Lonchura striata: one gene and its partners. The protein of the gene in region 3 interacts with the protein of the main gene of each other region in a biochemical or structural test. Links are inferred from orthologs where the notes say so. Each region holds a gene or a part of one and is shown on either strand. Other genes may lie near its edges. The genes, in order: ficolin-2, CFH and PTX3.

Region 1 (8,042 bases), on a different chromosome or scaffold from region 3:
TGCCAGTTTCTCAACAGACATTGTCCTCTTCAGGGGTTCATCCCATTTTAAAGGAAATGTTGTCCTGTGCCATTGTTTGATCCCGTTCTGGTCAAGTGGGCACTGCACACTGAGTTGAAGGCTGGAGGCTGCTGAAAGCAATGATGTGCCTAGGCCTGAGCAGCAGGCCTAAGCCAGAGTAGACTTACAAGATGGATCATGAATATTGTGTGACTAACACCATCAGTATTATTTACCTAAAAGATAGATGACAAAGATGCTTATGCTAGCTGTTTATAACCTTGTGTAGTTGTCTGCCAGAAATGTATCATTTTAAGAAGCTTTTCCAACTGAGAGGCTTGTTTGTAAGGTATTTTAGGGGAAAACCCTCCCAGCCAAGACCTGGGCTCTGAGCACTGGTCCTGGCTAAGCAGGAAGCATGCCATCAGACGCAGGCATTCCTGAGCTAAAAATAAAATCAAGTCATTTTGACTAGCTGATTTGGGCCTATAAACACTGGACTCTCTTTCAGGGCAAATCTGGAGACCACACCTATGGATACACCATGTAGGATTTTCCCAATTGCCCGGAAGGGTTGTCCAGGTCCTCTCTGTGAAACAGGGCTCCCCAGTGACTGGATGATTTTAAAGTATTTAGGCAATTGGTGATGTATCCTTCTAAATGACTATCCTGTCTCTCGTATAGTAATGATTATGTGCATTACCTTGCTAATTTTTGCTTGTTGCCAAAGCCGAGCATGTAGTTTTATTGAATTTATTATTTTACTCTGTTGCCTTTATATTCATAGTAAAATAAGATCATTCTTTCCATTGGTATGTTCTTTAAATTGCCCCTGGCAATTGGCAGAACAAGCACTCAGCATAGTGCCTCTGCATCAGGCCTCTGGGCTGAAGATCCATAGAGAGCTCCAAAGCTCCTCAGAGCTAGGGGGCATTTGGGCAGGCTTGTTATGCTGGAGGCAGGTTAGGGTAGGAGTGGAAAATGAGGAGAAGTCTGATTTTAGGGTCAGTGAGAAATTTCAAGAAGAGTGTTATCTTCTTCTGTGTTGTGGTCCCAGACACTCAAGGATACTGTTTCTAGTATTCACTCCATGCAAGAGCCATACCCCAAATCAGGCTTTTCCTATTCTACTTCAGCACTATTTCTTAGCCTATGAACAGTCCTGCAGTTCATCTCTGTAGACCCAGTCTCACAGTACATGTCCCGAGCTTGGGGGCATTTACAGATTAGAGCTGCATATGTTTCACATTACCTTTTGCACCAGGTGGTCCTGCTTTCCCGGGGAATCCCTGGTCTCCCATTTCTCCTGCAAAGAGACTCATTTTTTATGGGTATGTTACAAACTAACCAAAGCAGGGAGTCACCTGGGCAACTGGGCCTTGGCTTTCACTGAAACATGGGAGCTGAGGTAATCAGATTCAATCTTGTAACCTATTTTACTGTACTTTTACCTTAGTCCTTTTTTTCTATTGAAGCCTTACTACTCTGGTACTGCCATTCAAAGTCTAAATTTGCAGTTTAGAATTCTTAGGAGCTTTGTTACATTGTGGAGCCAGTCCATGGATTTTACTGTGGTGGATCATCTCGCTCAGTTGATGTGATTCACCTTCTCTGTGCATTGGCTATGAAAACTCGGAAGGACCCCCATCTCCCTTGCTCCCCAGAACAGGGGTTGCCAGTATATTTCCCACACTGTTCCCCCAGAAAAAGGCAGGAGCATCTCAGCCTCCCTCCCACCCAGATTGTTGGATACAGCCCCAAAAAATAAATGGATTATTTTCTGCAGAAGAAACAAATGAGACACTTCACACCCCAAGATCACATCAGATTGACAGGACAGGACTCAAGGAAGAAACAGGTCACTCTATGTGTACCAGCATATATCTAATTGGGGTGGTTTCCACTTCAATTCTCCAGTTCCTCACAGCAGCCAGTGCCAGGCCAGCTACTGCTCCAGACTCAGCTTGCTTCCCCTATCCAAAGCAACAAAACCATCTCATCTCAGGGTGCTCATCACTGGCTTTAGGGGCCTTACCTTTTGTTCCTGGGAGACCTGCTTCTCCTTTTGGGCCAGAGACACCTGGGATCCCTGGACATCCTTGAAGAATGGCAAGTCGGTCAGCATCACCCAGTCCCACTATTCTCACCTCTGAGAAATTAAGACAGTTTTTGTGAAGATTATTAAGGTTCTGAAATGTCTTGGAGAGGAAACCAAATCCTTTGAAGTTGAGGAACAGTGTAATCAAAAGCAACAAGTATGGAAGTTTTGAGGTGTTGTATGGATTGACAGATGGCATTGAGGATCTCACATATTAGAGAAGCCAGACTCTGCATCTCTCTGGCTTCAGGGGAGTTCAGTGTGAGAGGAGGCTGATATATATGACATTGCATGCATGATAAATATACTATAATTAATAAAACATAAGCTAAGAGGTGCCCCAATGGGGTATTGATAGCAGAGTAAGTGATGGATCTCTGGACAGTAAGGGTAAGACTTCTTCTGAATTTCCTGATGGCAGGTCTGTTTGAAATTGCCCCAGGCCTTCCTGGGGAATACAGTCAGAATGCTGTGCTGCACAGCATCCCCAGACTGATCTTTTATATTGCTCTGTATCCTTTGGTAACTGCACTGAGGCCCTACTAAAAAAAAAACCCCAAACGGGGGAGGGCAGGGGGGGCGGGGGGCGCGGGGAACCTCACCAGAGACTGTCTGTTCCTAGAGACCCCACTGGTGAGGGAACAGTGTTACATCACTAGTTGGAGACAGTAGCTTTCTTAAGCAGCTGCTGAGACTTCAGCCTCCCCAGTACTCTCCTCCCACTGGCAGCTGAATTTAAAAAAGCAAAGAAGAAAAAAAAATCATATGCTACTTCTCCCCCTCCCTTTGCAACCTCCTTCTCTTATCAGGGGGGATGAAACAGGCTGTCTCAGTGAGATAGCAGTAAGATTTGTGCTTTACTCACCTGAGCAGGTGTCCTCAGTATCACAAATAGTCACTCTTAGGCTGAGTAGTACCAAAAGAGCTGGGATTGCTGTCTCCATTGCTAGCGCTGCTCTCTGCACAGCTCCCCTCAGCCACTTCCTGGGAGCTGTGGTCAGCACTGACCCATCCAAGCATTTTATATCTAGCAGACAGCCTCAGTGCAAGCTCCACCTCTGTACTTGCCCACTGGCTGCTCTCAGGTCTGGGGCTTGGCTGAGTCTCAAGCTGTTTTGCAGATAAGCTGCTTTCCAAAAGTCTGATGGGAAAGTTCTTGCCTGGCTGCCCCAGCCTGCCTCACCTTTGTCCTCTGCAAATTTTGGATGCCTTTTCCTTCTCATATTGTATTTCTAGAGAAAATAAACCAGCAAAGCCATATTTACCTAAGTGTAGACAGCTCCTCTCATCCTCCCTGCTAGTAGCCCTTTAGGAAGAGCAGAACTTACTGTGTAGATGGGGAAACTGAGGCACAGGGAGTCTAAAGCCCAAGGTCAGCTGAGGCCAGTGGCAGAGAGAGGCTACACATTCCTGAGAGCCTGGCTCACATTCCAGCGCTCTTCCTGCCTGGCAGCCCAGCACCACTTTGCATGCATGATTCATGAATGACAGAGTTCAAACTCAGGCAAGGGTGGGTAGACAGAGCATGTTTGATTCCCCCCCCCCTCAACTGTTCATTGTACTAGTGAGCAGGATTTCTGGTTTCTTTCACCCCGTGCTTTGCTCATTTCTGCCAGGTTATTAGAGGTCCAGTCTGCTTCCTCCTATTATTTTCAGACCCAGAACCTGTAAAGTTTATGAATTTTAGTAGAGGGAAAAACTTACATTTTTCCTCCTTATTGTTACATCCCAGTTCAGAGGAGACTGATTTATTGGAGATTTTTTTTCCCGGGATATCAGATGCAGAACACAGCTCCCCCTCAAGCACTTCTATCATAACGTGCCTCTAACAGCCCAAGTGCCAATGATACATGACAGTTTAATGTTAAGCAAATGGAAGAAGGTTAGGGAGAGGTAAGTATTTGATTGCCACTTAAATTCAGCATCTCCCATATAACCCAGATATACACTTATACACATGTTCTTATTTATATATGTAATAATATAAAATAATAACCCAGTAGATGTTGCAGTTATTTTAATTCCTAAGAAACAATTCTGGCAGGGAAATGTACTTTCCTTCTCCTGTATGGAAAAATTGCAGAATAATCAGAGGAATTGTGACAAGATGGGCTGCATTATAGTTTGGGTTTTGCTTTACATGAGAAAAAGCATCTCACTTGTGGCAACTGCTGTGCTGCAGTTCTTGGGACAAAATGAGATCAGATCCTTTCTTCCTTCAGGAGGAAGCCTCCCAGAAGGAAAGAGAAAAAGGATTGGCAGGTGCTAGGGAGGGAGAGATCCATGCAAGACAGATCTAGGGTGACTGTGAACTGTACACCTCTTTTCTCATCTGTACAGCCTGTGCTGTCCATCTGCAATAGACTGATGTCTGGACTATGGGGCAGATGGAGGTAATGTAGAGCCAGTCCCCTGCACTGAGAAGCCTTCTCCTGCCCCAGTGCCTCTGCTCTCTTTGTGGAAACAGCTGCAATACCTTGTTTCAACTGGAGGCAAAAGCTGCTGCTTTCATCTGTTTCCCTTTTGTAAATTACTCCAAAAAGCAAAGGCCTTGCAGATTACCCCATAGTTACAGTCTCTCTAGGACTCCAGGCTAGATCTGTCCAGACAAATCTAAAAATAAATAAAAAAGGTCTGCCTGGGTTTTTCCAGGTTCTCCATTAGCAGGTTCCATCTCTGGGTTGGGCTGAGAATGTATGTTATGAAGGCAGCTGTGATATATCTGCCCAGAACTAATGCATCCCCCTAAGTGTTACCAGCTGTGGGCTCCATCCAGCCTGGTAGACATTAATGTCTCCCCATTTTCACCTGGGAAAGAAGCAGTGTCCTTGTTGATGCAACTACTTTTGGAAGCAGGGAGGAAACTGCCAATGAACAAGCTTAGTCCAAAGTAGGTCAGACTCCCCAGGGTATATTTTGAAATTGGCACAGAGATCGATATGTCCTTAATTGCTTTTTGTCATGTGAAGGTTGCAGAGGGCTTGAAAGTATACAAAGATCTTACATCAAAGAACATCCTGACTTCAGATAATCTTGACATATTCCACATTTTGCAACACTACCAAATAACAAACATGATTTTGAAAAGATGATCTTCTATTTTGAAAACATTTTAATTTTTTTCCTCAGTGTTGCTATTTTGCAGGAAACTTCAGAACACATACATTTCAAAATACAAATTATTAAAATTCAGTTTCCCAGATGCTTCAAGGTAGAGAAGATAGCTCAAAATAAGGTAACTTTCAGCTTCTTTTCTAAGCCTACTCACCCATCACCCAGGCCTCATCCACTACAAGAATGTTCTGAGCTCATTGGGCGAAGTTTTCTATGCATTTCAGTTATAGTAATTCCAAGACAAAATCCAAAATTATTCCAAAATTAAATACAAGAGACTTTAGAAAATGTTACATAGTGTTTAAATGTCTCCTTCACCATCTAGAAAAGTAGAGGCTACTTTATATTACAGCATGGCTCACTGCTGCTCTAGAGAAAGACATACTGATCCTTCAGGAATAAGTGACTTCCCAGGAAACAGAAAATCAAACCTTTTCTAGAACTGCTCACTATAATTAATTTGTTTTACATTGGTGTAAATTCTGCAATCATTCACTTCCAGGATAACTGCAAGACATACCTCCTCTAGATTTTGGAGAGAAATACACTGAAGACAATGTTTGGTGCATGCAGTAATGTTTTAGAAAAAGGTTTTGTTTTTCCTCTACTTTCTGTTATGGAAGCTGTTGTTTAGCAACCACCCTGCTGAAGTCCTCACTCTGGAGACTGGTGATGGAAACACAAACCTAAACAGACAGTCTCCAGCTCTCTGGTTCTACTACAGAACTCAGAAATGGCCAAAAGAAGTAGTCTACAGCAGTAAAAAAACAACAACAACAACAAAAAACAAAACAAACAAAAAAATCCATTAAAAAAAAGAGGCACTAATCCTACCTAGATAGTCTAAACAAGTGTATGGCAGCATCCCTTAGTAACATGATACAAGACCACTCACCACAGAAGTGCTGTCTAGAAGCTGCAGCTAGGTAGAGGAACAGCAGTGAAACGTCTGTTGTCAGAGTTTGGGAGCATCAGTAAGACATAACTTGCATTTGCTCCAGGCTCAAAAGTCCAGTTTGTGATCCTGTACAACAAACTACATACTGCGGCTTTTGGGGGTCACTTGCTGCTGTCCCCCATCCCTCCCCGGCCCCCCGGGACCCTCCAGCTAGCTGTCCCCTCTGGGGACCAGAGTTTGCCACGGTCCCGCTGCCCTGGGCTCACCAGGCAGCGGCTGGGTTAGCACGGTCCGAGCACCGGCATTGCCTCGGTCGCTGCTAGGAGTCGAGATAAAGAGACAAAGAGAGGCCAGTGGTATGCTGTCCAGAGAGATTGTATTGCCTGAACAGTGGCAAGGACCAAAGACCCTGGGCTACTGCCCATATACAGTTTTATACAGCAAAATTAAGAAATAAGGTCTAAACAATAGAGACAGTGTCCAGCTTAGACACATCAGAACCACCCCAGGGGTCAGGCCCAATGGGAGCTGCTCAGGGGTGGGGAGAAGGGGATTACAGAAAAATGCTGAAGTGAAACTTTCCTGAAACAATGGGGCATACAGAAATGTATCTTTTCCTCAGTTTCCCATTCCCAAGGCCTTTCTAAAACCCTTCCTCCACACTACCATGCCAGCATGATAGCAACACATACTGTTTCCTACTAGAGACCATATGCTTTCCATCTGGAACACCTGGCTTTTTCCTTTAAAAGTAGCATAAAAAATAAAGTTATTTCTCTTGCTGGAGAAAACTTTGTCTGTGGTTATTTTCTGAATGATTGCCAGGGGCCTAAAAACAAAATAGCAATTGTCTGCTACAAAAATTAACCCCATAAGCCATGTGCACTCTATTGGGTCCAAAGGAAGGCTATCTGCTTTATCCGAGTTCAACTGCAGCCTAAAGTAGTAACTCAGCATTCTGTAAAAAATGGTAATTGTAACTATCTCAGCAAATATGGCTTTTGAAGATACCAGCTGTCTCTATTTTACAGGATTTAAACTCCTTACTTAGCTTGTCTCATAGAGATCATCTTTAAGTTCAATGGTACAAGACTTGAGTAGGGATATAGGATGAATGCGTGTCCACATTTGGCAGCAGGGCAGTGCAGCTATACAGGAGCCATACTTGTCTTGGCTTTGTATGGTTTCCTAATGCTATGAAATGAGAACATCTAGAACCTCCCTGCAGTAGCTGAATGGGCACTTGCAAGCAGCAGCTGGTAGTTTTTACTAGCATCTCCAATTTCTCCTCAGAATATTCTCCCCAGCTACCAAAATCATCTTAAAGCCCCTAAAATTTCCCAGCACCATTCCTGTCTCCTTGCATTTCTGTCTCCAACATTAATTGCAATGTTGCTAATTCCCCTTATACCCAAACTCCTCCATCATTCCTACAGCAACCTTCTCAAGCCCTTTATCTGTTTTCTTGGTTACTACTTATTTGGCTTAGAGCCCTTGATAAGGTAGTTCATTATTTAGAGCATGTGCTGATAGAGCATTGCCATTGGAACACACAAGGGTACAAGATTTCCCTGCAAGATGTTCCGGGCTATCTCCTATTTGCACAAACCATTTTTAATTCTTGAGGGCTGGGGAAACAGGAAAAATTGCAATGGCTAGAGCAGAAACACTGAAAGCAAACTGGTGCCCAGCTTTGTTTCCTTTAAAAGACTAAAATAGCAAATCTTGAACAACACAGAAGTGCGACCATAACATTCACTTTGCATTAAAAATGCTGTTGGAGAGAAAGGAAAAATGATCAAATCCTCTGTTGGCATTCCAACAAGCATTTGCAGGACTAGGGCTGTACCAGTACAATTTCAAATAATTATCCAAACTGATATTGCTTGCAAGCTATCTCCCTTAGCTTTGTGACTGAAAGGTTAAAATATT
Region 2 (7,400 bases), on a different chromosome or scaffold from region 3:
TTTTCAGTGCTTAGGTTGCTGAAATATACACATTTTGGAAGCTGAACAGAGTAACAGAGTCTGAACAGCCTAGCTAACTAAATGCAATCAACTCTGTTTTCCATCTGAACATGAAAGGTGAGCATTCATCAGGAATAAATAAAACAAGCCCTGAGGTAATAAAGCCTTGGGAAAGGAATGAACTCTCTGTATAGAAAGTAAACAGGAGAAAAAATGCCCACCAGAGAAAGAAATCCTGTGGTGAGTAGATACGTTATTCAGCAGAGACCTGGCACAGATGTCCTCTCCCCACTTAACTGTAAGGCCGTGGGTTTGAGAAAAGAGCAGCATTCTCACTGAAATCTTCCTACAGGTTGTCCAGATGCTGCCTGGAAATAGGACTATGGGACAAATCTTTGGGATCTTTCCTCATGTGAGGGATGTGGAGTTAAAGCTCACTGAATTGCACTGCAGAGATGGCACCACATATTAAGTAGCTGCTGTGGAAGAAGGTGTATTTTATCTGCTCACTTTGTGTTAGCAATCCCAAGGTGTGGAAAGTGAGTTTTACTTGAGTTTACAAAGACACATCCTTGAGAACTCACTTGTTGTATTTCAGTCAGGGGAGTACTGACCAAATTAGAGGCATAATTTTATAAAATGGTTTTAAAAATGGAAAAAAAAAAGATTTGTTGCAAAGAAACAAAACCACATTATTTGAAACTGTATAATTTGAAAGTTATGTCAATTTTGAGCTTTGATAACTTTAGTTTGGCTGTTTTAAGTAGCCAAAAGAATTAGACAAGCTTTAACAATACTGCTGATGTGCTAAAGGAAGAGTGTGCTCACACCCATTTTTTCCAATTACTTTGATAAGTATTCTCCCTCCTATGAATGATTGCATCTGAATAAAAATTATGTTTCTGTGCACTAGAGGGTACTAGGCTACTCCAGAAACTGCGGGAGAGGCTTTTTTAGCAAAAAAAAAAAAAAAAAAATACAGATTCAAATTCTAACAACATTTTTTGCAAAATGTAGGAATAAGCAAAATGAACAGGAATCCTCTAGCTGGTTCTTTCAAATATGTTAAAAATTGTTAGTTTACCCAAAAAGTTATTTTCAATGGCAAGAAAAAGAATGTTTATAATTCCACATATTTCTAATTATATCTTGTTTGAATTAGCACTTTCAGTTTGCAAGCTGAGAGCGCACACTGAAGTCTCTAATTTAAAAAATAGGTTATTGAGTATAGTGACAGCTTCTCTATTCCTCCCTCTGAATTGTATCATATTTTTATTGTTGTGCAGCATGCACCCTCTTAACTCTTTCTTGCTTACCTTACACTCCCCTTCTGATGAAAGATCATCTCTTTAGTCTCTTCACCATTACTAAGATTTGCTGGGTCTCACTGGGTTTTATCTCAACTCTTCCCCACTCCTGCCCTGATGTTAAACTATGTGTTACCATCAAGTGTCAAGAGTATATGTATGTGTATATATATGTGTATGTATGTGTGTATGCAGTTTCTTAGTGGCTTGAGGTGAAGAGATCAGCTGACAGGTTGTCCATCAAAACTATATTAATTCCATCATGTACCCACCAATACCTGAGGGTTTTATTTCTATATTAAAAAGCATGCACAGAATGGATACCTTCAAATTCCTTACTGACAGACCAGGAGAGCTAGAATTACTCATTCAGTATTTACATTTGACTTGACCTCAGTTAGAAATAGCTCAAGCTGCTTTTTTGGCAACAATATGCTGGTAGCAGGTTCTAAAAAGTACAAGCACAATTACAAATCCAGGTGCAAGTGGCTTTCAGTCCTTGTGCAAAACCCAGCACTCGGAAGACTTTCCACAACTCTCACAGACTTTCAGCATGAAGCTTAAACAAGAATGCTGCCTGACCCATGGTAATAGTTATCCTGGATAAATCAAATTTTGCTGAATTCACATTTCTTTCCAATCTCCCTGACCTAAAGAAAGCACTGTGAAAACAAAGTGCAAATTCAGGCAAACTTTAGTTTCAAATTCCAGGACTTTTCTGCACTTCTTTGCAAACAAAATAGACTATTAGTTGCTTTGAGGCAATATTTATTTATATTTAAGATAGGAGATTACTTTAATTTCCTGATTTTTCAGTTTTTCAAAGTAAAATCCATTGGATCTTTTTGATTAATAAGGTCTTCATAACTTTTAACTAAAATTAAAACCATCCTGAACCAAGCAGAGACATACTAGCTCAAAACCACACAGCACCCTCTGCATAACACTCTATGCCAAGAAACTCAGACATAAAGCAAACAAATTAAATAACGAAGGATATATTAAATGATATAAACACAAACCGAGAAAAATACATGGAACAGAGAAACAGAAACATCAGCAGTTTCTGAAAAGATATGTAGCTACCTCTTTAAACATGAAAAAAGCATACCTGTATATATTTATCTCCTTTCCTAGACTAAAACCAGTCAGTCAATAGATATATTAGAAGATTTTCAGTCAATGTAGTAATCACTCATCTTCCTCAGATCACCTTACACGTTGTTTCAGACAGAAACAATACATTCCATAAATGTACATTTCTATTTTAATCTACCAACTGCTTCCTGGTTTTAGATATTAGAATAATTAGCAAATGTAATTAATAGAAAATTAGTTGTCTGCCTCCAGTTTATAGTGATATAAAGCATTTGAAAAGTTGGGCAAGAGATTAACAACAGCAAAATAAATAGGTGAAAGTAATCCTATGACAGGACACTAAATACTAAAGGTGCTAAATGCTGCCAGAAGAAATGTCAATTATTGTCAGAGGTTCATGAAAAACCCTACAATGCCTTTGCATATTGCTTTAGTTGCCACCTTCATATACACTCTAAGAGAGGAGTTAAATCTTACCTCTTTCTGCAGCACAATGCATCCAACACAAGAGCAGAGCTGCATAGCCCAGGAACAACATTCTAGAGATTCAAAAACTCAGCAAACACATCCAGTGTTGTAGCCTACTTTTTTCCCACTACTTTGTGTTATTTCCACTGCTTTTTTACTTAACTAGTCCATGGACTGACCTTGCAAAACATTTATACTCTGATTTCAGTAGTCACTTCCCCTAAACCTCTTGCAACACACAAGTGTTTCTTTTTTTTTAAACCCCCTCTCTAAACCTTGCTAAATGAATAAATAAACAAATGCCTGGCAATTTAGGTTGACACATTCCTTTCCCTGTGGTCTGCTCCTTTCTACATCACCCTTTTTTTCCCCCCCATATTTATCCCTTCCATGATCACAGAAGGTTATGTCTTTTGATATCTAAAAGCTGTACAAATAAATTATTTTGCATTTCCTTGTGTGTTATATGCTTAGTTAGGAAACAAATTCATGTTAATTGTGTGCAAAAATGAACTTCTCTACACATATAATTCAAAATATACGTTGCAAGCAATCAAAACAAAAAGGCAAAACTACAGAGTGACTAAGGGGTTACTCACTGTTTCTTATAGAAGATCACCAACTACCCACAGCAAAGGAAATGTATTTGGTCATATTTCTCATTAAATAAACCCAGGTGATGTTGAAGCACTTTAGTATCACATGAGAAATGATAAGATGGAAGATCTGAATGGATTGTAACAAAGATAATGAACCTTCCAAAGAAAAATATAAAACTATGCAAAAAGGAACATATATATATATGCCTAACAAAGGAACTTCCCATGGGTCTGTGTAAGCAACAGTCTTATCAATAGTTTCATAAAATGTTTTGGCTTCACAAGTGCTCTCTGGTGAAAATGTAGATTATATGAAGAGGATTGCTTGAGACTGAGAATTAGGGAGAAAAAAAAAAATGTAACAGTACAAAGTGCTCACAGGAGATGGACATAAAACAGATACAGGCCAGATGCTCCACAGTGGTGTCTGACTAGATGGAGTACACACAGATCCATCTCGTATATGTTCCCAAAAATCCACACAACATATCCTTAAAAATCACTAGCTTAGTTTGTGTGCTGCTATAGGATAAAAATGAGTGTCTACAGAACAGATCTCAAATCAAACCAATCTTAAATGCAATTCCACAGCATTTACAGCAGTTAAAACTTTTTCTCTTCTTAAAATGCAGGTGGAATTTTTTTTTTAAACTTTGGGCTGTGTTTTCAGTCACCAGTTCTAAATAACGGTCTTAGTAAAACTGGCATTCAGCTGTTTCTCCTACAGCAATGACTTCAGAGAGCAAAATGTCTCTTCCTTTCCCTTCCCCTTGACAAATGACTCCTGTGGAGAATGAATTCTCACCGTGCTCCATGACCCTGTGATGATCGATCTGCATCCAGTTTGCAGTTACTGGTGCACACCTTATCAGTAAATGGATATTTCATGCACCTGTCAAAATTGCAATTTCTCCAGTTTTAAGTATTAAATAGTCTGATGTGATGAAGCTCAAACTGCTTTTGCGTTATTAATCCACATGTCAAATAATTATGGACTTGAATACAGTCAAAGATACTTTCAGGTACAGCTAAACCACAACTGGAAGGGGTATCACAAATTTCCTGACTGCTGTCTATAAATACAGACATTGCTAAAACTATTTAAGCTAAAAGATAAGCATGCAAAAACAGATATAAAATGTCTATGAACAAATTTAAACTGAGAATTAGAAGACTCAGCTGGTAAAGCTTTGAAGCAATATTTGTATACACATAACATAGGCCTATACAAAAAAATCATCTTCAATCACAAAGCAAGAGACCAGACTCGGTCATTTCCAGTCCTGGGTTTGTGATCTTCTTAGGTAATTTATTAAACTTACCCTAGGCAAATGGAAATAGAATCAGAAGCTTAAACTTTCTTTCCTTCCTCACCTCATCCACGGGCTATCAGTTCAAAATTGATTGTCTTTAATTGGGTCTCACTCGGTTTAGCCACCTCCAGTCTCTACCAAAACAGAGCGCAGAGACAAACCATGCCTCAGGACTTCTAAGGCAAGGAGAAAAACCCTCATCTTTAGAGTTTACCTCCTACTCATGAGAAAGGCAGAAACGTCAAAGTAGTTATGCAACTAAGAGCAGCTGGATTTCATCTAAGGAAGCAGAGCTCCTGTTTTGAGAACTGGTGTGACTGCACTCAAAATACTGCTGTGGACACAGCCAGACAGCCACAATATCACAGCACATTCCCTGTGTGAGCAAAACTGCATGTCAAGGTGTGTGATCATAGGAAAGTACAGGCTGGAAGTTATCTTGCCCAAAACTCCTCCACAAGGCAAAGTCAGTGTGAGGTCAGAATAAGGTTTTTATTAGTTCCTTACTCAACATGGAGGCTTAACATCAAAGTTCAGAGTGTTTGTCCAAGCCAGAATAATTTTGAGACCAGTGTTTGGAAGCCATTTTGTGTTAGGAACAGAGATCTCAGGAAGCCAATGTATTCTGCAGGGGACTAATGTTAAGTGGCAATAGGAGCTTAGTTAGCCACAGCTGAAATAGCATCTCTGGCCAGTATAATTTCAGCATGTTCTAACAGCATGCTTGCTGTCACACTTGAGTTTAATGACCTCATTAGAGCACACAGAAGAATCAGCCACTGCTTTGCCCAACAATTGTCATGAAAATGTCTTATCCCACTGTATTAATAGTGAGGTTGTCTTTGCAACCTCAACATTTGTCTCTCCTCCCACTGGTACAACTTCTGTGACTCATGATTACATTAAAACATCACTTAACTGCTACAATCACAACCTAAGGGTGTGACAGGGAAAAAATTCTCACTTGATTTAATTTAAAACAAATCATAATCAAACTGGTTTATTGATTTATTAATAGAATACAATTAACTGGCAATCGCTGGAATATAGTTTCAGATTCAGTATGGCCAATACACTGTTAAACAAAATGTTAATCAACACCTAACAAATAAAGAACCATTGTTCACTAATCCCCCAAAGCTCTAATCATGCACACAAAGCTGTGCACCCACCCACCCACAGCTATACTCACAGTTTCCCTCTAACAGGTACTCCTGTAGTAGATGTGGGTACTTATTTTGTACTTTACTGCTCCTTAACACCTGCTAATGCACACAGCAGGGAGGAAACACCACACCCCAGCTTCGAGTCCCTGCCTGTCCCACCTGCCCAATCATTGCGGGAGTTGGATGAAGGCTGCTGGAATGTCCACACAGAGTTTTTGATGCCAGAGGCTGAATGTACAACAGTGTCAAACCCACCTCTTCTCGTTTTGACCACTTGCTCCATTCCCACTGTTTTCCCTCCTGTTACAATTTCATTTATCCCATACAATTATTTGCAAGATGGTCCTTCCCTTTTTCAGAACTCACCTGCTAACTTCCTAGTGGTTCATCATCCCCTTTAACAGGATCAGCTGTGGCACAGGCACTCTCAGACACTTTTGGATGCTTGAACTTGTGTTCCTGTCTTAACAGCTGATGCTCTTCAGGCCATTTCATCAAGAACGGGTCATGGGAGCACCCTTGAAAACCAAAACACAATATTAAGAATTGTTTAGGAATATTCCTTCTGCTTCTTCTAAAGTAAATTAGATAACAGCACGTGCTTAGACAGTAGATCTATCATGTCCAATTCTAAAAGTAATATAAACCCACTTCTGATTACTTGTGTTTAAGTATCACCTCATTCTCCTGCCTTGGTGCTCTATACTCAAAAGTGAAGTGAAAATAACTTGAAAAGGTGTTCTTTGCAAAAAAAAGATGTTCTCCTCCTATATAAAAGCAGCTGTCAGTAACCCTACTTGTAAATGAAGTAAGTCCTCCTACTCGCAGCAAGTGAAGATGTACTGGAAGGCAATTCCCAGGTTATCAGCATTTCCCAGCAGCTTGCTCTCCCATGACGCAGTGCTGCTGCTCTCTTGTTCCTACAGCTCTTTTCAGGTCACCACAGACACCAGAGGGCCGGGGTGCACCAGGCCCAGGTGGCCCTGATGTGTGCACTGCTCCTTTCAGATCTGCTCTCTGATGGTTTAGCACAGAAGAATAAAAGGATCAGGTCAGATTGGATACCCTGTGTCTCTAACAACTCTAAAGATCATGTTTGCAGTGCAGAGTCCTGCTCACTGTGCTGTGGAAAACACACCTTCTACCAACTACCACTGCAGTTTAATTAGATATATGAAACCACTTTTTTTTTTTTTTTTTTTTTTTAATGCTTTCAGTGGAATTATCAAATTTGAAATTCTTCATTTTATTTTCTGCCCCAGCTTTGGAACTTTACAGTGACCTTAAAACTCTGTTCTCACTTTGGGCTATTTCAGTCTGTTACTGTTACTGAATCACTATCAAACCTTTCATGCCAGCAGAACAGTTTGCTACTGCACAGCCATTTAAAAAAAACAGGCATCAAGTGGAAAGATAGGAGGACTCCAAGAACATTTTTTTCCCCTGAAG
Region 3 (6,907 bases):
CCAATTAATCAAAGTGTTGATGATAGAAATTAGATTAGCTAAAACCACAAACAGAAATTTGTGCAGCTTGGGAAAGCAACTGGTGATCAGTAAAGCCAAGACATTTCTGGTGGTTTCTGTGCTGTTCCCTGGTTGCACCCAAGTTAATATCCAAGGTGACAGGAGGGAACAAGCAGCCCCTTCTCCAATTAAGCTGCTTCATTTCCTGTTTAAAGAAGCTGGAGGATCTGAAATGTCTAAAACGTGTGTGGAAATTTCTGCTCCAGGGAATGAAGGACTCTTTGTGCCCTCCAGGACTGAGCTGCTGTGGTATTTCATGGGTTGCTTCCCTCCAACTTTGAGCAGATTTTTACATCTTCCATTGACCCTTGTGAGGAGGGGCAGGGTCAGTGAGCAACTGTTGGGGATTCTCCTTAAAATGCTACTTAGGAGCACTATTGTGAAAAAGCTTTTAATTACCAGGCTTTCAGGCTCTATTATCAAAGCCTCAACAAAATTAAAACCAGCCTCAGTGAAGAACAAAAAAGTGTGATTAGAAAATCCCTCAAGAGTATGGCTGGCAGTAAGTCAAGATGTGAGAAATTAAAGTCAGTTGCTAAAAATTCCCTTGGAAAAAAAAAATCCAGAGAGATACTCTGGAAGTACTTAAAATGTAGCCTTTAAATTTACAAGTACGGTTGTTTTATGTAAAATCATGTGGGAACCAGTGGAAATAAACTGAATTTCCACTGATGATCTTCAATGCAGATCGAGTTTGCTGCTCTCACCTAGTGCAGAGTAGCTGCTGAGGCTGGCTGGGGTGCAGGGAGATAAGGAATGAGATCATGCTCTCTGAAGGTTTGTGTTTGGGGAAAAGAGGAATATGCCCAAAGACCTCATCCCAGCGTTCTGAGGTGTTGTGATAAAGCAGTGAAAACAATTTGCTTCTAAAGCCGAGTCTGCCCTGCATGAAGGGATGGGCTCAGGTTGGGCTGTTAAAGCTTTGATGTGAAGAATTTTGTGGCTTTTGTTGCCTTTGCTGCAGCAATTACTGCTCCTCTCTGCTCCCTGGTGGGAGAGTTCCCTCTGGAGATGCTGCACCCCCTCCTTCCTACGCACCCACCCTGCGGGGGTAGATTTTGGGGGGGGTTTAGGTGGCAATAATTTATATTTGTGGAAAGCAGAGCCATTTCGTGGTGATTCTGCAGCCACATTTAAACAAGTGAGGGGCTGCTCTGCCACACCCAAGCTGCTGCTCCTGCTGTTTTTGGGTGTCTCCTTGCCCTGCACAGAAAAGCTGAGTCGGGATTTGAGGTATGAGCCCACCTTCCTACAGCCACCCCAAATGTTTTGGAAAGGGAAGAATCCCCCAAACAACAGCAGCACGGGTTACTGATTTCTCTGTGCCAGTGGGAATTTCAGGGCAGAATATTCCCACTGGCATGCAGGGAATGTGCCTTCCCTGCCCTGGAAGTGTGCTTGGCTGGCTGGCAGCAGCGTGTCCAGCTCTTGGACACTGGAGCTGGTGAGGAGATGCTCATGGAGGAAGAGGAAGGAATGGAAACGTGCAGGAGAACAAGAGAGCTCTGTGACTGCTGCAAACGCACAGGAGTCGCCAGCTGGGAAGGCAAAAGGTGACAGAACATAATCTGGATGTCTAAAATACATTTGCTGCTCTCTGACAATGGCTTTGATCTGGGAGAGCCTTGAGGAGGTGGGAACCTGGCTGGCTCTGCCCTGCACGAGGACTTTGATGAAACCTTTCTTTGATCCCACGTTTGAAAAGCTCAGTGCCTCTTTCTCCATGAGTTCTTGGGTTCCCCCCTTCACACACAGCTTGTTCAAAGCTGCCCTGCTGCTCCTGGGGCTGCTTTGGAGAAGGAGGTGCCCAGGAGGGGGTGTGTGGATCCCTGTTAATTTGGAGTGGCCTCCCCAGAGCTCTCACCCTGCCTTACCTGCTGGCAGCAGGTGCTGAGCTGCCCATTGCTGTGATGCCCTCAGCTCAGCCCGGGTCTGCTGCAGCTCCTTCCACAGCGAGCTCAGGATGAGGCTGTCCCCTCTGGCATCCAGCTTGTCCTGCTGCAGAGCTGTTTCCTGCTCCTGGGCCCTGCTGCGCCAGGCGCTCTCCAGCCAGCCCAGCCTCGCCGACACGTTGTGGCTCAGCTGCAGGACGTGCTCCAGAACCTTCCCTTGCTCCGACTCCTGCAGCCTCCTGGCTTCCTCAGCCTGCTCCCTGCCCCTCGCCAGCGCCTGCTCCACCTGGGACACCGCGTGCGAGGTCACAGTGGCCAAGGTGCCCGCCAGGGTGGTGGCCAGCTGGCTCAGCTCTGCCTTCAGGGTCTGCAGCTCCACCCTGGGGAGCTCATCCAGAGCCTGCAGCATCATGTTCTCCTTCATCTGCGAGTTCTCCAGCATGATGAACAGCTTGTCCCACTTGCTGTGCTCCCGCTGGCAGTCGCACGAAGCAGCTGGAAGGGAAGGTACACATGTTGCCGTGCCTTTGTACCGAGTTCTAAACGGCGGCGTTTGGCAAAATCTGGCTCTGTGCAAGGCTCGTGTCCTCCAGACTGCCACAGAGTCGTGGACTCAGACTGGTTTGGGCTGGAAGGGACCTTACAGACAATCTGGTTCCAACCCCCTGCCATGCTGGGGCCAGTGCCTTTCCCTCTGTGTCGGGACAGAACAGTGCAGGGGTGTGATTACAGAGATCCCAAACCCCTGCGATTGAAAAGCAGGAGCTTTTTGCAGGAAAACTGAGAAATCAAGAGCCTAAAGCACAGCCCAAGGCACCCCATCCGAGGGCTTTACCTTTACTGCCCACAATAATCCACTGCTACGAGCACGAGTTTCTCCCTCTGGAAAAAGTAAATTACGTTTGCAGTAGTAACTCCTACAAGAGCTCGGCAGCACCGAAGGCAGTTCTGCACTTCAATTCAGTTTGCGTTTACTCACCTTCCTCGATCGCAGGGGCTGGAGCTTCGATTTCGTTGTCCAGGTTCACGTACATGAGCTCGTAGTCATCGTCTTCATCCACGGCAGAGGCGGCCGCGCTGAAGACGCAGAGCAGCGTGAGCAGGGAGAGGAGCTCTGCGGGCAGCATCCTCCCGGCGCCGGGGCTGCGGCGGAGCCCCAATGAATGAGCGCCGAGCGCTCCTGCCCTGCCTTTTGGCCGCCAGGGGAAGGGAGGGAGGAAGGGGAGGAAGGGGGCGGGCAGCTTGCTCAATCCCAGCCCTCCAGGTTTGCCCGGGGGATGCTCTGAGCGGCCAAGGGCAGAGCCGCGCTCGCCCCGGCCAGCATCGCAGGGGGCTGCGAGCGCTCGGGCTGCGCGGGCGGAGTCGCTTTGGGTTGTTTTGCGTCGTTTGTGGAAAAGAAAGTGTTCCCTGCAAGTTCGGTGTGTGCCAGGGCTCTGGAGGGGATTGGTAGAAAAATAAACATACCTGGAGTTGGTTTGGACACACCGGTTTAGCTAAATAGCGCAACTTTTTTTGAGAGTTTGGCACTGCTGCATAATAAATTCTATTACATACCAACAGTTTATTGCTTTAAGCAATAGAGGAGAGCTCTTAAGGAGTTCTAACGGTTTGTTAGGGTCCTGCTTTTCCAGTCCTAATTAGCAGTTACACCACCATTACTCCGTGGATAATCTGTTAGTGCTGTATCCTGTTTTGGGAACTGCAGCTGCACAGAGTTGTGTCTGTTACCTTTGAAAAAGCAAAAGGTGCTTTTGGATGAAAGATTAATTTAATCTAAGATTTAATGGTATTAATCTGGTTTAAGATCTGTAATCTTATTGGTTCAAGAGGCCATTAATCATGTCAGAGATGCTTTTCTTAGGTGAGATTAGGGGTGATCTCATACAAATTGTGTATTGCTATGAAATATCCAGAGAATAGCAAAAAAACCCTCCTGTAATTACATCTGACATGGAATCTGTGTTCCCTTTCCATTTGTGTCTCTGGTTTTGCTTATACAAACCTGCACTAACCTGTGCCTTGGATACTGGGGAGGAATTCCTCCCTGGGAGGGTGGTGGGGACACGGTGGGGATCGGGCACAGGTTGGACTCTGGTCCTGGAGGTCCTTTCCAACCTAAATGATTCCATGACTTTCCAGTAGGTATGGGCCAAACCTGATCACCCCCAGGGAAAAATTGGTGTTTGAGTTTTGTCTTTGGAAGCTCCCTTTGGAGTGAGAATCCCTCTGCCCATGGGACACTGCAATGTGCTCCAGGTGCCTTGTTCTCCCCCAGCTCTCTGTGCTGCTGGGATGGGCAGGGCTGGAGCTCGGGGCAGCCTTTGCCAGGAAGGGGTACAGGGCTGGCACCACCCCACCACGCCCCTGGGCTCCCTCCCTGCCCCTTGTGCAGCCACGGAGTGTCCCCAGCTGTGGGACACTGTGTGCTGCAGTTGTGTCATTCCCAGCGTGTGGTCTGCTTGGGAAGGGTGAGGAAATCTAATCTGGAAAGTACTGGGGGTCAGGGTGGCAGGGAAGGAAGAGGGAAGGAAAGCATTTAGGGAGTTGAGTGGGATGGTTTTTCCATTCTCACAACAAACATTTGCAGGCTCTTAGTTTAGATTGAGGCAGATGAAGCAAGATTGGGAACAAGTGAATTATTCAGAATTCCCAGTATCACCTCTGGCTGTCTGAACTCTGGGAATCAGGGGGCTGGGAGCTGGGTGTGGATAAATCCCCTCAGAGCCTGTAAAGACGTGACAAACAAACAGTTCTGAGTATCCCTTGCTACCTCAAACATGAAAAGACCAGAAAGTGGCCAGGTGGGTTGTGCCTGCTGACCTTCCTTGAGGTCTCTGAAGAACGGATCCAAACTGGGATATCTGGGATTATTTACATGTGTGCACACAGGTTCTTCACTTGAAAGCAATTCCATGTCAGTGAGGTCACTTTAATCTCACTGCAGAGGGAGGGGATTGCTCTGATTGCCTTTGCTTTCCATTTATCTTGGTTAGGCAATATCAGCCCAGCAGTGTTTGCTGCAGGAAGCTGCCCAAAGCTGCTCTAGCACAAAGTATTTTTTGTTAGAGAGGTTTGGTGGCTGCAGTCCATCATCTGTGATTGCATCACTCCTCTGATACACCCCCCACTCCAAATGCTCCTTTGCCAGACTGAATAATCAGACTTCCCTTCCAGATCCCTTCCTATCCCTGACATCCCAGCTTAGGCAATAACATGGCTCAGGCTGGTGTCTTTCCTTGCTTAAAGCTGTTAATTTTGTTACTGCCTCTTGGATTCCTTCCCATCACACTTCTATAGCTGGGAGGAAATTTGCCTGTCCAGGAATATGGGAATTTCATCTTTTGCAATCATTGCTGAAATTTGACTGAAGTTTAAGAGCTCTGCTCCATGTGGGCAGAAAACTCCCAGTGCAAGCTAAGCAAGGGCAAGTGCAAAGAGAGGACTTAGTGCTGGAAGCACGACGTCATCCGGAGAGAAAATAATTTTTGGTGTATTCAGTACAAAATGTTTCCATTTCAAACCATGATGCGAGTCTAGAAAATTTCCTGTGAATCCATCCTCTCACCTTTTTATCTTTGAATATCCTGAGCTGGAAGGGACCCCCAGGATCCTCCAGTCCAGCCCCTGGCCCTGCCCAGACCCCCCAACAATCCCACCCTGGGCATCCCTGGCAGTGCTGTCCTGGAGCTCTGGCAGCCTCGGGGCCGTGCCCATTCCCTGGGCAGCCTGGGCAGTGCCAGCACCTCTGGGGAAGAACCTTTCCTGATCTCCAGGTTCTCCCTCTGGGGGAATTGGTGCTTGGCATCAATCCCGTGGAACGTTAGTGGTGACGTTTTTGTCCAGGTCCACTGGGAACATCAGGAAGAGCCCAGGGAACGTGGTTAGAAAATGGCCAGAGTGGAGCAGTTTGCTCATCTCTTCAGGGTGATTCATCAGCAAATCTCTCTCCTTTGCCCCTGGCCTTTGTGACTGTGTAGAACAGAACAAGATAAATTTGCCGTGTCGGTGGGGTGGGAGTGGGGTCTGAGCTGGCCTTTGGCACTGCTGGGGCTGCACGGGGAGCTCAGAGCAGGGATCCCCTCCTGGAAGCAGCCAGGGATTCTCCAAGCAGGACAAGGTGCAGAAGTGTGGCTGGCTGGAGTGGAGAGCCACTCCTGTGAAGGAGAAGGACCCTCAGGGCTCATTAGGAGCTGCTGGGCTCAGAGCTGTCTGAAGCTGCCCTGAGTTATGTGCTCGTTTCTTGGCTCAGGGGGAGGCTGTGAGACCCAGCCGTGTCCTGGGGTGCATTTTCTGTATCTGGCAAGAGCCCCACGTGCTCCAGTCTGAACCCAAATATCCTTTTCCTGCCATCCATGATCAGATCTGCTTATCTTCCAAAGTTATCGGGCTCAGATGTACATGGGAGGAAAAGCAGCAGGCCAGAGCAGAGATCCGATTCCTCTTGGAAACCAAATCCAAAGAGGCCGTGAGGACTTCCAAGGGTTTACAAAAAGGAGCCATGCTAGGTTGCAACGGGCAGATGTTTTCCATATGTTGCTCAAGTGAAACTTAAATCCATTGAGGCAGGCATGTACTGCGATGTGAAGTTATATATTTTGGTTTGAGCCTGGGCTTCAAATTGAATTATGCACAGACATCTTAAGAAAATGTGTGAGAGAGGGTTTAGCATATCTCTGTCTGTCTGCAGTTGGCTCTCTCTGGCTCCTTTCTATTCCTGGAAATGGCATGCTTAACTATTTCTGTTCAAATGCACGTTTAGTTCTCTGTTCACCAACTATTCCTTCCATATGATGCTTATTTAATTTGAAAATCTGAATCTCAGCAAAGGAGAATTGTAGTTTTTGTCTTTTGTTGGTTTTGTTGTTTCTTTGTCATTTCTCTCCTTCTTTCTTCTCTTGTCTCTTTGTTAATTGAAATTACACGTAATTTGACCTAGGACTCAACAGAGCATCATC

Evidence for each region.
Region 1: the proteins of PTX3 (region 3) and ficolin-2 interact in a biophysical measurement, tested with the Homo sapiens proteins (2 studies listed by IntAct, with this or other methods). The link is inferred for Lonchura striata from reciprocal best matches to the Homo sapiens genes PTX3 and FCN2.
Region 2: the proteins of PTX3 (region 3) and CFH form a complex in vitro, tested with the Homo sapiens proteins (3 studies listed by IntAct, with this or other methods). The link is inferred for Lonchura striata from reciprocal best matches to the Homo sapiens genes PTX3 and CFH.

What each region holds. Positions count from the first base shown.
Region 1 is NC_134624.1:6,030,016-6,038,057, forward strand, and holds the start of ficolin-2, read right to left. Parts: upstream 3,074-8,042; 5' UTR 3,043-3,073; coding exon 2,964-3,042; intron 2,150-2,963; coding exon 2,036-2,149; intron 1,307-2,035; coding exon 1,253-1,306; intron 1-1,252.
Region 2 is NC_134611.1:26,443,102-26,450,501, forward strand, and holds the start of CFH (complement factor H), read right to left. Parts: upstream 3,086-7,400; 5' UTR 2,944-3,085; coding exon 2,883-2,943; intron 1-2,882. UniProt on the Homo sapiens protein: Glycoprotein that plays an essential role in maintaining a well-balanced immune response by modulating complement activation.
Region 3 is NC_134612.1:26,001,783-26,008,689, forward strand, and holds the start of PTX3 (pentraxin-related protein PTX3), read right to left. Parts: upstream 3,080-6,907; coding exon 2,932-3,079; intron 2,448-2,931; coding exon 1,935-2,447; intron 1-1,934.